Oreochromis niloticus: one gene and its partner. The protein of the gene in region 1 purifies or fractionates together with the protein of each later gene. This does not show direct contact. Links are inferred from orthologs where the notes say so. Each region holds a gene or a part of one and is shown on either strand. Other genes may lie near its edges.

Evidence for each region.
Region 2: the proteins of psmc3ip (region 1) and mnd1 purify together in Homo sapiens (co-immunoprecipitation; 6 studies listed by BioGRID and IntAct, counting the BioPlex papers as one, with this or other methods). This does not show direct contact. The link is inferred for Oreochromis niloticus from reciprocal best matches to the Homo sapiens genes PSMC3IP and MND1.

What each region holds. Positions count from the first base shown.
Region 1 is NC_031969.2:26,004,548-26,012,568, forward strand, and holds the start of psmc3ip (homologous-pairing protein 2 homolog), read right to left. Parts: upstream 3,023-8,021; 5' UTR 2,762-3,022; coding exon 2,743-2,761; intron 2,385-2,742; coding exon 2,284-2,384; intron 2,189-2,283; coding exon 2,099-2,188; intron 2,013-2,098; coding exon 1,901-2,012; intron 1,682-1,900; coding exon 1,536-1,681; intron 721-1,535; coding exon 667-720; intron 505-666; coding exon 445-504; intron 348-444; coding exon 291-347; 3' UTR 1-290. Other genes in the region: retreg3 (reticulophagy regulator 3), read right to left, coding at 6,115-6,662, 6,750-6,882, 7,554-7,633, 7,977-8,021. UniProt on the Homo sapiens protein: Plays an important role in meiotic recombination. Stimulates DMC1-mediated strand exchange required for pairing homologous chromosomes during meiosis.
Region 2 is NC_031971.2:13,859,312-13,866,380, reverse strand, and holds the start of mnd1 (meiotic nuclear division protein 1 homolog), read left to right. Parts: upstream 1-4,040; 5' UTR 4,041-4,206; coding exon 4,207-4,209; intron 4,210-4,680; coding exon 4,681-4,746; intron 4,747-5,253; coding exon 5,254-5,311; intron 5,312-7,069. Other genes in the region: trim2a (tripartite motif-containing protein 2), read left to right, coding at 244-384, 2,041-2,193. UniProt on the Homo sapiens protein: Required for proper homologous chromosome pairing and efficient cross-over and intragenic recombination during meiosis.

The sequences.
Region 1 (8,021 bases):
TCGCTTTAGAAGGGAAAATTTAAACCAGCGTTGCCTTTGAGGTGAAGAGCATGACTGTGTTGTCAATTGATGTGAAAGTGTTAAGAGTTTCACAAGCAACGAAACAGTTTTTTATAAAAACATACTTTCAGTTATGAACTTTTTTTTTCAATTAAAGCATTTATTAAAGTTGAACTATTTATTCAAAATAAAGGGCGATAAATAAAGTATTCTCTGGGCTTCAGATTGCTTTCCTGTGTAATCCATTTGCTTAGATTAGTGGCAAGGTGACTGTAAAAGAACTTTCTTGTTCAAGTATGTGGAAGAACTACTTTACAGTCCTCATCAGTCTCCACTCCAACTTCTTCCTGTGAGGAAGCAGAATATTGCAGGTAATAGCAAGAATTTTATTTTATTCTTAAAAAGGATTTTTTTCTTTTCTTCTTCTTAGTGTCTTAAACTCACCAGGAACTCCTTTTTGCTCTTTGGATAACCCTCGAGGATTGAATTTATCATGTCTGAAGCCTAACGCAAACAAAGTGCCAAACACTTTAATAACATGTCCATATGCAGTTTCACTCGCACTAATGAAAGGGAGGGATTGTACTGCATTTTTAAAATACATGGCATGCAATATGAAACATATGAGCTATGAATACAAAAAGGAACTTAAGTAAAAAAGATTACCAGTCTCTTCCTCTTTTTCCACTCTTTAACGTAGAGATCTCGTTCTTTATAAACCTGCAAATTAAAAATAATACTAATATATATAAGCAGCTGGATAGCGTAGTGGTAAGGTTACACACCTTTGGAGCAGGAGTGGCAAGTTCGATACGCAACATCCACATTGCAGGTCCAACGTTCAGGAGAAGGGACTGCTCTCACGGTTAGAGATTGATAGGGTACAACACACATGCTACGGCAAGGGGGAGCCAGGGCGACAGGTCAGGGGTGGAGATAACATTATCAGCCCCACCCGAGATTGGGTACCAAACCCCAAGTGCGCTAGAAGAATGATCGTTGAGTGCAAGAGATCATGGCAAGCTTGAAACCTGGATCCTCCGTTACCAAGACTAAGTGAAGTACCCTCAGAAGCTCTACTAGATTATGTGAATGCAGCACTATGCCGCCACCATTACCATTACCGAGACTAACAAGCTGATCTACAGTGAGATGAGATGTTAAACAGCCACATGGGAGCAGTACCCTACTCTCTAGGAAAAAACCCAGCTCCATCCAAGGTGTACTCTCAGATACCTACTGAACAGTATATGTACAGTTGACTCATGAATCATTAAGATTTTTATATGACACTGTGGAAGACAGAGGACAACTGAAGGCTGTAGACCATGGTACTCAAACAGGGAGAAGGGACAGTGAGATGGGGATTCATTTGCAAATGGGTGCGATGACATAGCTTAATTTAAAATTTACTAAAGCGTGTGAATATGACAAATATGCAAAAAAAAAAAAGACGTCGGTAAGGGGGTAAATACTTTTTCACAGCATTTAGAAATAAGAGAGGCCGTAGGACAGATCCCTGGTGGATTCCTCACCTTGTCCTTCTCTTCTGGCGTGATGTGATTTGAGGCTGACTTTATCTTCTCCAGTCGGGCTCTGTACCCAGAACACTCTGCTTTTAGCTCCTGGATCTCTGACACCATTTCCTCTGTTGTAAGGGAGCTGTTTAGCTCCTTCAGTTCTGTCATCACAGATTTCACACAGAAATGTTACAGAACATCCCCTTTCAAACATATGCAGTAGAACAAAAACAACACGTGTAGAGAAAAGAGCAGTGGGGACAAGCCTCATCGTAAACCGTTTACTGTATCAAACAGCCACATCTTGTGGCTTAAGAGTGTGCAAACTCTGAGAAGATAAATAAGATTGTTGAATGTCAGTGATTAGCAGAAAATTTCACCTGCATCTAGCTGTCTGCAACTCTGGGTAAGGGACTGCACCTCTCCACTGAGCTCTGAGATCTGATGGTCCATTGACTTCAGGTCTGCATCGTTCACATCTTTGAACTGAGCCTGTGGGACAGATTGAGTTATTTCAGTTACTTTACTGGAATTTATAAAAATTATATGTGCATAATATTCCAGACAAACAGACTAACCTGGTCAGCAAAATAAATCTTTTGCTTGCCATATATTTTCTCCTTTATCTTGCCTTCCAGGGCCAGCAGCTCCATGGCTTTGACCACTGCCTGTTGGAAGAAATGCATAAAAACAGTTACTTATAGGCTATGAAAAACAGGTTAATTTTAGGCATCTAATTGTCTCGTTGAAGTGTTAAACTCACCGTTTTGCCCAGCCCATGTTGCTTTTGTAAATTTGAGAAGACATCCTGAGCGCTATAGGGCCGGTTCTTCTCATTTAGGTAGGCAAGGATGAGGGCAGCCCCTGTGAATGACAGCAGGACAATCAGCTCGTTTATCTAAACTTACTACAACATTACACTTAACTTATACCAGAAGTAGATTTTCATGGTTAATATCTAATAGTCCCTTTTTTCTGGCCATAATTATCATCCTAACCTATTTTAAAATAAATATGATTCCCCTCCTTAAAACAAGTATATCGTTTGGAAAAGTGGAAGAAGAATAAAAACACGGAGGTCGTCTCAGCTAACGCTAGCTTGTAGCCGTTTGGCTAAACGTTTCCTTATATCTGTGACTTTTAACAATCGTCGTTCGCTCAGTGCAGGCGACTGACAAGCCATCTAACTTGTTATAGCCTAGAATATAAACTTTTAACCTACCGTTATCTTTTTTACTCATTTCCAACTACTCCACTTTAGCTTTCCAGATCCGAGTTTCGCGCAAAACGCACGTCACGGAAAAGATCGTTCATGCTTAAAGATGATTCACACCAGCACAAAATCCGTCTTCTGCCTTCGCGTTTGAGCGCCCCTCTGTTAATCCTGCCCCAAAAGCTATTAAGTATGACAGGTTGAAAGTATCTCAATGGTTCTTTTACTTAAATTATTTTATGTTTAGTAGAACTTTATCTCCTTCTTCATTTCATGTCGTTAGCGATATCCCGAAAAAAAGTAGAGTGACACCTCTTTTAATTTGGCTGTTCTCAGAAGCAGTCAATTCAAAGTCCAAAACAAGATATACCTAACCGGCCACTTCATTAGGTACACCTGTTCCCGAACGCAAATATTTATTCAGCTAATCACATGGTAGCAACTCATACATAAAGACGTGGACATGGTCGAGATGACCTGCTGACGTTCAAACCAAGCATAACAATGAGGGAAAAAAGGAGATTTGGATGACTTTAAACGTGGCATGGTTGTTGGTCTGAGAATCTTAGACACTGCTGATCTACTGGAATTTTCCCTCACAACCATATTTTTGGGTTTACAGAGAATGATCAGAAAACAGCTGCAGTTCTCTGGGTGAAAATGTCTCATTAATGTCAGAGGAGAATGACCAGGGTGCAATAAACAAGATATGCAGAAGAGCATCTCTAAATGTGGAACTTTGAAGAAAGATGGGCTATAGCAGAAAATCTTACTAGGTATCTCATTAAAATTAAAACGTTAGAAAAACGTTGCCTGGTCTGATGGGTCTCAATTTCTGCTGTAACATTCAGACGGCAGGGTCAGAATTTGATGTAAACCCTAGAACGCTATCGCTATAAATAGTAACACAATCACTACTGCCAGGTGATTTTTTACCCCTTATATAATAAGACCAACAAAAAGTACGTCATCAAAATATGACAACATGACAAACTAGAGTGGTCTTCTTTTATCTTCAACTGTGCCATGTCTAACAATATGAAAACAAAAGTGTCATGGGGGGACCCTAAGATAATGCTCCAAAACAGAAAAATTAGGAATTCAAGAACAAAAAAATTCCTAAACAAAAAAATAATGACACTGGAAAGCTGGTCTTTGGTTCACCCATTCCTGGGACATTTGAGATTTCCCTGGTGAAGGCACAGTCTCCTCGACACGCTAAAAGCTGCAGGAGAGAGAAATCATGTAAATGTATTTGTTCGGGTGAAAATCACCCAGCGATAGTGTTCTAGGGTTAATACTGAGCCTTGTTTAAATGCCACAGCCAACCTGTGTATTGTTGGTGACCATGTCTATCACTTTATCACCACAATGACACTGAGTCAACTGTACTTTAAATGGCCTCCACACCAGATATCAAACCAACAGGACACCTTTGACATGTGACCAAATGTGACACAAAATGTTTTTATTATCCGAAGAGTGCTTTAGAGAAATCAAATTCCCTTGCAGCTCTTCAAAGTCCACAGCTATGACGATCCATCTAAAACGGAATAAAACAAATGTCAAATTAGGCCGTGACTGGTTTTCTAGTCATTTCAGAGCTTTTCGGTATTAAATGAAGTACATGTGAATTGCCTTAAGAGCACCTTTGATAAACAGAGAGACAGTTAATTGCAAACATTTTATTTAATATGATTTGCACATCAAAACATATCAAAACCAGTTACAGAGAAGAAAATACACTACTATGCACATTACATAACAAACAGCCTACAAATCCCTCATAATGAGGACTTCTCATAGAACAGCCTACAGAAACATTCTTGTTAACTGATATGGTCAAACCAAGTCCAACTAATTTAGTAATATTTGTTTTCTGCAATTTCCCATCAGTTTGCATTTTTCTATTTAAATTCTGAATCCAGCAGATTTTTTCCATACTGTGCTAAAATTGCAGCTATGATTTTCTTCTCAAAATAACAATTGAAAACAGTGATGTTTTTTTCCCTCTATTAAACAACCAGCATTTTAACTTTTCATGTGTGCATTTCAGTAAATCTCACTTGTGGCTCATGGAAATTTCAAGTGCCATTTCCACTCTAAAACGCTATACAGACATGATTTGTCCATGTATAGGAAATCAGGCTGACCAGCAAAAGCCACTATAAAATAACACTTAAAAAAGACATGAGGTTAACTTCCTATCCAAACTTGATGTAAACAAGGTCGCCTATTAAGATTGTAAAAGAGCCTTGAGAATATAATTTTCTGTCTTAAAAAAAAAAAAAAAAAAAAAAAAGGTCAGTTTGAAGGTCAAGCAGACAGAATACAAGAGTGGTAAGACATAAAGAGACTATTTTAAATTTTTTCTTTAAAAAAAAAAAACAAACAAAAAACTGAATCGCACACAAACCCGATGGCTCATTCCAGGTATTTAACATGCACACAAGGTAATTGAGCCATATTAAAGGGCAGGAAAATGGAAAAAAAATTCAGAAATTACTCACACGCGAAAAAGAAGCATGTTCTGCTGTGAGGAACAAATTCATTAACACAAATGTAACAATCAGAGTTACTCTGGGCCACATAAGACTATTGTGACAAAATAAACTTTGAATGCGTTCATGTTAGTCAAGAGAAAAGGGAAATAGAAAATGTTGAACTTTATCCAGATATCATTCACCTTCATTGAAGAACACAATCACTGTCTAAATACGCAACTGCTATCAACTGTTTAAATTGTCTAAATGAATCTCTAAATTAATTCGATGGTACACCATCAAATTAATCCTCTTCCATCATATCGTGTTAAGACAGCAGAGTATCAACATGAACATGAGCTACTACTTATTGAAGGGCTGATACATCCGAATACTGCAATGCCTAAATAAGCTTTTATATAAAAGGCTGTTGCACAATATCAGTACTAAAACATGGCTCAGCTCAACCAAGAGGAATGTCACATTTGGTCCTGTGTTAATAGCCCTGTATGTCTAGACCTCGGTGTAGAAAAGATCTGATGGCCTCTGGCTTTCATTTGAAGTCAACAAGTACTTGTACCTTGTAACTGAGTGGTGTGTAAAGTTACAAGACTGCAAAAAGGCTCAATAATGCTGGTTTATTTAATGTTTGAATATGTTTTATGTATGTTATTGTGTTATCTATTGCTCAGCCTACGAAGTAAAAGTTTTCTGGATGATCAAGATTTCAAACTACAGCAAAGAGAGTCTGAAAAGATAGAAAATATGAAATACTTCACAGTGATAAACTGATGCTAATCAGGAACAGGGGTGCTGGAACCTAAAATAGTCTCCCACACACATTCTCATACTTTATCAATACGCATTCAAGCTGTGCACACACAGACACACACACACCTTACTGTGGTTTACCAAGCAGGCTAGACAAAAAGTTAGAACCCTGGCTCTCTCCACGTCTAGAACCTACACCTTCACCGAAGGGATCCAACTGGTTTAGTTCAGACTGATCCAGCATTTCAAAGTCTTCTCCATCCAAGTCTGTGTCTAGCTCAGAGCTGGACTGCTTGCGATAACTTCGGTGGGCCCCGGCCCTGGGGGGACCTTCTCTGCGTTGGGCAGCAGGAGGCTGAGGTTGCAGCGCCCCGGCTATTGCTGCCTGGATCATGTTGCTGGCAATGACTCCAGCCAAGTCTCCAGTGATATTAGAGGCAAGTGGCAGGCTGCTAAGAGAAAGTTCAGCATCTAGATCCTCTTGGTCTGAGTCAAGATGAGCATCCACATCCAGCACTGAAGCCCGGTGACTAGCTAGCCCAGACGGACCCAGGCTAGGCAGTCCAATGCTCGTGTCATCATCATCATCCATCAGAGTGGCATCAGGGTTTATGGAGGGGAAGTCTGGGAGGTCCTGGGCAAAGGATTCTTCAGCATCACTATGCCTGTCAAAATCTGGCCGGATTACAGACCGGGAGAAGATCAGAAGCATGAACTAACCAGGAAATGGAGGTAAGAAATCCGTCTTTCTTGCATACATACCCTCAGAGCCTTCAGTCAGTGGGGTCTGGCCACGTGACAGGTTAAATGTTCCATTGTCAGTATAAGAAACCTCAGCATCAGAATGCTCGGAGTCGGTCAGTGCAAGCGCCCTCGCAACAACAGCATCATCAAACTAGGAGACAAAATGAAATGGTTTAGGTTGTGCTGTGGTGCATTTTTTTAAGATGGCAGTCAAGCTGGTAACTCCGACTCTGACATAAACAGAGAAACATTCTTAGTTTGACTCTGCTTGTTTCTCATCCTTTTACCGTCTGCAGGCTTTGCCACAAACACACATTAAGACAAAAATAAACAAGCACATTTTGTGACGTTCCTAACCACAACAGGAAATGGTGCTGACGTGCTGCTGTAGCTAACCGTGTGCTGAAAAAGCAATAGGTGCAATGAAGGTTTCATCTTTCGTTTCATTTTATAACCTTGTAACCAACACTGTTGACTAACAACAACTCATGTTCACTTAAAGAAAAAACAAAAAAAAACAAAACATTGACAGACTTTAAATTTTAATTTATAGAATTTTAAAGACTCTCTTTAACATTTTTTCACAAATTCACATTACACATTATGAACACTTTAAATATAAAAGTTTACTTCTGGTTTAGGAAGCATTTTGTGTATGTTGACATAATTACTGGATCACAATATGAACAAAAACAAAAACTATATTTGAAGACAAATTTCAGGTATGATGTCCCGACTTTAAACAATAGAAAGGCAGGCATAGTGAGTAACAGTTTGATTAAAATATCAAGAGCTTTAGAAGTAAAACAGCAACAGCCTTACTGTTGGGCAAAAAGCAGCCAACTCCTCCTCACTGTCACTGGCTTCACCCGAGGCTGCACCATGTAGAGGTCTTCGTAGGACTGCAGAGTAGAGTGACCAAGACAACAAATGAGTACTTAGTCCAGCTCATTTTAACTGTAGTAGTTAAATAGTGTGCAGGACAACCAGTTTTAGAAATGCTAAAATGGTTTGTAAAATTAGAACTGATTAACAGATTAATCAACAAACAAAGAAAAAAATACTTTACATCACTGTATCTACTCTGATATTTGCACTTTGGTCTCATTTACTGGAGAGGAAATTGTCTTAACAACAGTTTCATCTCAAAAGAATAAATTGACATAAAATCCAGCTGATTTGTTAGCTGCCAAGTCTAGTAAAAATATACTAATAATACACGATACAATTTGGTTTAGAACTTACACTGATTATCAATGGGCTTTGACATCATGTATCCACGAACGCTGA
Region 2 (7,069 bases), on another chromosome or scaffold:
GCTGGTTGCACCGGAAGCCTCAGACTAGCTGGCTTTAGCCCCGAGAGGCAGAAGTCATCAGATGTTCACTGGTAGCTTCTCAGAACAGCTCTGCAGGGAGGATGAAGTGACGTAATACATGTGTATTTCACTAACTACACTTACATAGAACAGTACATTTTTTTTTTTTTTTCCATTTATTTTAATTTTTTTAAAGAAGTGTTCTCTCTCTGCTGTTGCTTCTCTTTGAAAACCACACTGCAGGTTTTCAACACAGAAGGAGAATTCTTGCTGAAATTTGGCTCCAATGGTGAAGGCAATGGCCAGTTCAACGCCCCCACAGGAGTGGCGGTGGACGTCAATGGAAACATCATAGTAGCCGACTGGGGCAACAGCAGGATCCAGGTACGCAGAATGAATCATTTCTACTCCTTGAAGACTCGGTTAATACAAACTTCTGTTTCTTTTTTTTTATCAAGTGGCATCCAACATTACAATATTGCCTCATAATGGCTAATGAAATGTTACCAAAACACCATTAATAGTATATTTATACACTGATCAGGTATAACATTATGAGCACTGACAGGTGAAGTGAATAACACTGATTATCGCTTCATCATGGCAACTGTTAGTGGGATATATTAGGGAGGAAGTGTTCTCAAAGTTAATCTGTTAGAAGGAAAATGGGCTAGAGTAAGGATTTAAGTGAGTTTGATAAGGAGATAAATTTTGATGACTAGACGACTGGGTTTCCAAAACCGCAGCTCTTGTGGGGTGTTCCCCATCTGCAGTGGTCGGTATCCATCAAGTGGTCCAAGGAGGGAACAGTGGTGAACCAGCGGCAGGCTCATAGGCGGCCAAGGCTCACTGATGCAAGGCTGGCCTGTGAGGTCCGATCCAACAAGCAAACTACTGAAGTGCTGAAAAAGTTCACCCTGGTTCTGACAGAACGGTGTTAGAAAACACTGTGCATCAGTTTATTGTGTATGGGGCTGCATAACTGCAGATCAGTCAGGGTGCCCATGCTGACCCCCAACACCAACGCTGGGCATGTGAGCATCAGAGCTGGACCCTGAAGCAATGGTCTGGTCTGATGAATCAGGTGTTCTTTTACATCATGTGGATGGCCGGGTTCGTATCACTTACCTGAGGAGAAGGGAAACGTCTTCAAGCAACTTAAAGAAGTCCAGACACTTTTCGTTCCAAGCTCCTTAGATCACTTAGCTGAGGAACAACTGGACCAGAATGCACTGTGGGAAGAATTCAAGCTGGGGGAGGCAGTGTGATGCTCTGGACAATGTTCTGCTGGGAAACCTTGTGTCCTGACATCCACATGGATGTTACTTTAACACGTACAACCTACCTAAGCATTGTTGCAGACCACGTAAACCTTTTCATGGAAACTGCATTCACGGTCTCTTTCAGCGAAGTAAAAATGGTTTAGGGATGGTTTGACGTGCACATCGAAGAGTTTAAAGGTGTTCACTTGACCTCCAAATTCCCCAGATCTCAATCGAGCATCTGTGGGATGTGCAAAGAAGTCCAATATATCGATGCCTCACCTCACGACTTACAGGATCTGTTGCTCATATCTTGGTGCCAGGATCCACAGCACACCTTCAGCGGTGTAATGGAGTCTACGGTTCGGGAGGTCAGACTTGTTTTGGCAGTACAAGGGGGACTGACACAATATTAGGCATAATGTTAGGCCTGATCACTGCACGCTGGTGTCTAAAATACATGTGTTTGAACCTCTTGAGACCCTGTGTCCTCATATGGAGATCTTCCATTTGGCTTTTCTGCACCTTGTATTTCACAGATCTCTTGCATCACATCTATCCCATACAAAAGCTTGGGTCTCAGAAGGGTTAAACCAATAGAAGGCAACAATTGTCACTTCGTAAAAACTATTTTGGTCACTATGCATCATCCATATTCATGAAATCATTCATTATTTTTTTTTTTAAACTTTATAGCTATGTGTGTTGTACTTTCCACAAAAAGCCGAATGAACGAAACACTGATTTCCAGCAGTGATGATATTTCTCTCTCTCTTAGGTGTTTGATGGCAGCGGTTCATTCCTCTCTTACATCAACACGTCAGCGGACCCCCTCTACGGCCCGCAGGGACTGGCGCTCACTTCAGACGGACACGTCGTGGTCGCTGATTCTGGCAACCACTGCTTCAAAGTCTACCGCTACCTGCAGTAGCCACTCGACACAAAGCCTGTACAGTGTACATATGTACAAACACGCAGTAGTGCGGAGCAACTGGAAGTTTTTGCACTCCCCCCTCACCTGTTCACCCTTGAATCTTGCTGTCATTGTGCCATCTGTTTGACCTTTCTCCCTCCCCAAACTAACACAAGAGACTATATTAGTGGTGCGAGGGAAGCGATATGACCTCTGACCTACACGAATGGCTGCTGCTGATTGGTGCTCACTTGAGACCTCGTTCACCTTCCATCTTAATGTGGAGTATTTGAAAAGGCTTTAACGCGGTCCACATGGTAGAACTTTGAAACTGGGAAAAAAATAAATACATACTTTTGCACTTGTTTTTCAAATCACTGGCTGTATTAAGTGAAGTCATAATTAAAGTAAAAGGTACCTTAGTCACCTGAGAAATAATGAAATTCCATCTGTAGCAGCAGTGACTGCAGCTTCCTGCTAAATGCTCTCAAGGGTTTTTACATTTTGCCTCTTTACTATAAAAGTGTTCCACCCACTGTAGGTATAGCAGGGTATTTAAGAGCATGATTAAGACGTCTTTGTGCATGCAGTTCTTACTCAAACACCTTAAACTGTGCGTATGAAACAGTTTCCAGCTGACCACTTTCAAACAGAGACGCTGTTTCACTTCTATTTGAATGTGAAAGCTCCTCATTGAGCTGTGTCATCACTTTTAATATTAAAAAAAACAACCCAGTATGCTGACAAGTGTGACTGTATGAATTAAGGGTACCAAACATAAGCCACCTGATATGCATCTGCTGTGTATGATGCCTCTTAACATTTCTGCTGTGATCGTGTGCAGACCCCTCGAGTTGCAGAATTTGAATGAAAAGCTAATTGCTTGGAATGAACTCGGCAGGATGCATCCTATTAAGTTTCTGATTGAAAGATTTCTTCATCACGCTGAAAGTAGAGGTGCAGAACTGCGATCACCTTCACTCCTCCATGTGCTCTTATAACTTAGGTTAAATCTATAGAGTGAGTAACAGATTGTGTTTTAACAACACAATTTGTCTACCTTCACAATCAGCAATAGAAAGTTTGGCAGTCAAGGTGTACGTTAAGTGATAATGCACTGTGTTCCTATTAGAAAGCCTTGTTTGTCTTCAAGCACACAACTGTCATTATTTGTTATCCAGAATCGGGTCATCGATTTTCTACACGATCTTGTAAATTGTTTGTTTTCCAATGTCCTGTTTATATTTGTAATGCCAAATGGAATTAAAGTGCCCATAGAAATGAATGATAGTGCTTTTGTGTGTAATACATGTGCTGCAATAAGCTGAATTTAGATAGATATGTTAAATAAAGAATAACACTAGTAATTTCAAAAATGTTTGCACATCACTTTAATCTTATGGTCCCAAACAGTTTTTAGTCTTTGGCTGCAGATAAAGCCTTTAGGTCTACTCAGCAAACGCCCCTTTTAGAGGAACCGCCCATGGAAAGCCAGGGTGTGGATATTTCTGACCATAGAAGGTTTTTGTTGCTCAGGGCTGTCTGCTTTGGCCTTTTATTTCATCAGACGGCAGGGGGCGCTATAAAGCCATAAGCGGAAGTCAAAAAACAGTGCTCCTCCCCAATGCTGCCTTCATAAGCACTCGTACATAATCCGAATACTGTTCGTTTGTTTATTGGTAAATCAGGAAGGAGAGAGTTAGGGGAGTGTAAAAGAAGTGCTTCAATTTAACAGTAAATATTTTGAATGCATTCAGAATATTGGAATTATTATTGATTCTGTATCTCTATCAAACAGACAGTAACTCTAAGTTCACAAAAAACATCTGGTGAGTTTTGGAGTTCCGTAAACGCAACATTGGTACGTCACAGCCTTCCGCGGGAAATTCGCTAGTGCTGCGTCCCCGCTCTGCTTATACGTCGCCTAATCTTTCTTCTTTACATTAAAAACTTTTCAACACCCCTGTGTTACCCTCAGGTGGCTAAAACGTTAATGTTAGTGGTCGTTGTTGGTGAGCTCTACATCGAAAAATGGTAAGCAGAAGTGCACCTTAACCTGCTGTACCTACTGTAAAGACCACCGGCGTTTACGTAGTTGTTTGCTATCATTTGTAAGCTAGCTTATAGCTTAGATAAATAGACAGTTACTTTATTGATCCCACAAGGGAAATGATTGTGGTACAGCAGCATGATAAAGAGTAAAAGCTTATACCTATCGCTAACGATACTTTCACAAAGCAGCATTTATTATTTCACATCATACATTTGGTAAACGGCTACAAACTTTACCTGTCATTGGACCAGTCATACCCCTGCTAGCAGTCTATTTCATTTAGTTACTTCACAGTGAACCACTGAATATATAAACAACTTGTTTAGATGAAAGATTTCAAGAGGTCATTCTTCTAATCTCTATTACCTTTGGCTCCTTGTTACTCGTAAATAATAAGTGTTAGTAACTCAGTGCCTCACATATAGATGAATAACATTAACCCCCTGTTACAGTCAAAGAAGAAAGGACTAAGTCTGGAGGAGAAGAGAACTCGCATGATGGAGATTTTCTTTGAATCTGTGAGTTTGTACCATTGCAGGTGACCCAGCCTCCATATCCCCACTGTTCTGTCCTACTCTGTGTCCTATTATTCATACTGGTCATTGCTGTTATGTGATTATTTTTCACCATTATACATGCGTGATGTAATACATCTCCTGACTAAACATACCCCCCACTCCCCACCCCCAGGCAGCAGATGACGTGTTTGATTCAATGTTTAAATCCATGCACCGTAATATTGAGTTAGAAACTTGGTTTTCAACATTTAAATCAGGCAATAAAAAGTGCAGAAAATGAGACACTTAAGCGGTCCTTAACATGGATAAACCACAAATTAAAATATCCAGAAAATCAATTTATTTTCTGTTTATGCAAATGTTATTTATGTTACCATCCAGAAGCAGTTCTTTGAGATGTAATAGTTTTTAAATTATTTCTTTCTCTGTGATATTGAAGTTTTTATTTTGTTTGTTTGTTTGTTTGTTTTTTAAATCCTGGAACATGTTCTTGTGCTCTCTTCCCAGAAAGATGTGTTTCAGCTGAAAGACATTGAGAAGATTGCCCCAAAGTCAAAAGGCATAGGTGAGTAAGGAACAACAGTTCCAATCGGAAGGTCAGTGGTTCGATCCCTGACTCCACTAGTCTGAATGTCAAAGTGTTAGCTGATTGGAGTGTGAGTGAAAAATTTGAAGCTTCTGTGTGTGAATATTAGTCAAAGTGCTCAGGCTTAGATAAAAACTGTGTGTGTGAGTGAGAGAGAGACTGGGTGAAGTGCTTTGAGTCCTCTGTTACAGTAGTTCAGTTTAAAGGTTGGTTGAGACTTCACTCTATTTTTAGAAAACACTTATTTTTCCTACACCAGACTTTCTTCTGATTTTGTTTGTATTTATATCCACTTACCAGAATAGCCTCATATTTCATCCAGCCAGATGGCTCATGAGGTGATCTTGCTGCTGTGATGTTGGTTTGTAATAAACTCAGAGGAAAAGGAAACAGCTGGAAGCAACAAAAAAATCTTCAGTCACTGTTTTATCAAAATGTAGGTTCTTGTCATTTCTGATGAGTCTTGTTAAGGAAATATTTGACTGTCCAGCTGTACTTTATAGTGTTTTTTTTTTTTAAAGTGAAAAAAAAGCAATGTACATGAAAGGTGTTCAGTTAATAATAATATATATATTTTTTTGAACGATCTGTGTGCACCTTCTGCAACTAAAGTAACACAATCGGTGTGTTGAATGTAGACAAAGCCTGACTTTTGCCAATTTGTATCATATTTATTTCCCCATGAAGGTCTCACTTTGAAACTTCCTCTTAATGCGTGTGTGGTTAGTTTAGGCAGAGTGAGATGGGTCGAAAGCGGGTGTCTCACGCCAAAGTGTTAGAGTTAGCGGCATCTTCGTCGTCGTCGTCGTCGTCTTCTTCTCTTTTTTTTTTTAAAGTGAGCTGAGCAACTCACAGTGATGCACAAGAGGCATGCACAATCAGATCTTGTGCCCGTCTCTGCATTAATGTGACTTCATAATCATTAGACTTAAGTTTCCTTTTTGATAAAGCGTATAGATCGGGTTGGATCAGGTGACCCAGAATCCTCCCTTAGTTACGCTGCGGTAGGCTTAGGCTCTCCATGATGCAATTTGTGTTTCTTCTTCATTAGTCTTTTTTTCCATTCATTGCATTTACACACCACTCTGCATGTAGTCCTTGGTTATTATTAATCTCTGGCTCTTTTCCACAGTTTGTCTTTTGTCCTGTTTCTTCCTGTTGAAAGGGAGTTTTTCCTTCCCACTGTCGCCAAATGCTTCCTCTTAGGGCGTTGTCTGTTTCTTGGGTTTTCTCTGTATTATTGTAGAGTCTTTACCTTACCTTGAGGTGACCGTTGTTGTGATTTAGTGCTATGTATATAAAATTGAATTAAATTGAGTCTTGTAAGTGACCCGTAAATGTTATTAGTGTAAGACTGATATCCGAAATTATGGAAAACTGACCATTGTGTTCATCCAGGCATGATTAATGGAAAGGAGAATTAGAGGATGACAGAAAAATGACAAACAGATGGACTTGGATGAATATCATAAGGACAAACAGCATCAGCGTGCAATGCACATTCATGAATTCTTAAAGACATTGTGGTGACATGCTTACAGAATTGCCATGGCAACTAGGACGGGCTATTGCCATCTTTAGTGTGTGTAAGCAGAACAAAACTTATCAGTAGCAGAAATCATTTAGTTGAGAAGCTTTTGGAAGCTTTTGGTTTTGCAGCCTGACTTTCTGATGGTTGAGGCAAAATGTCTAATAATACAAAATTAGATTTTTAGGTGCTAAATCGCCTTGAAGAAT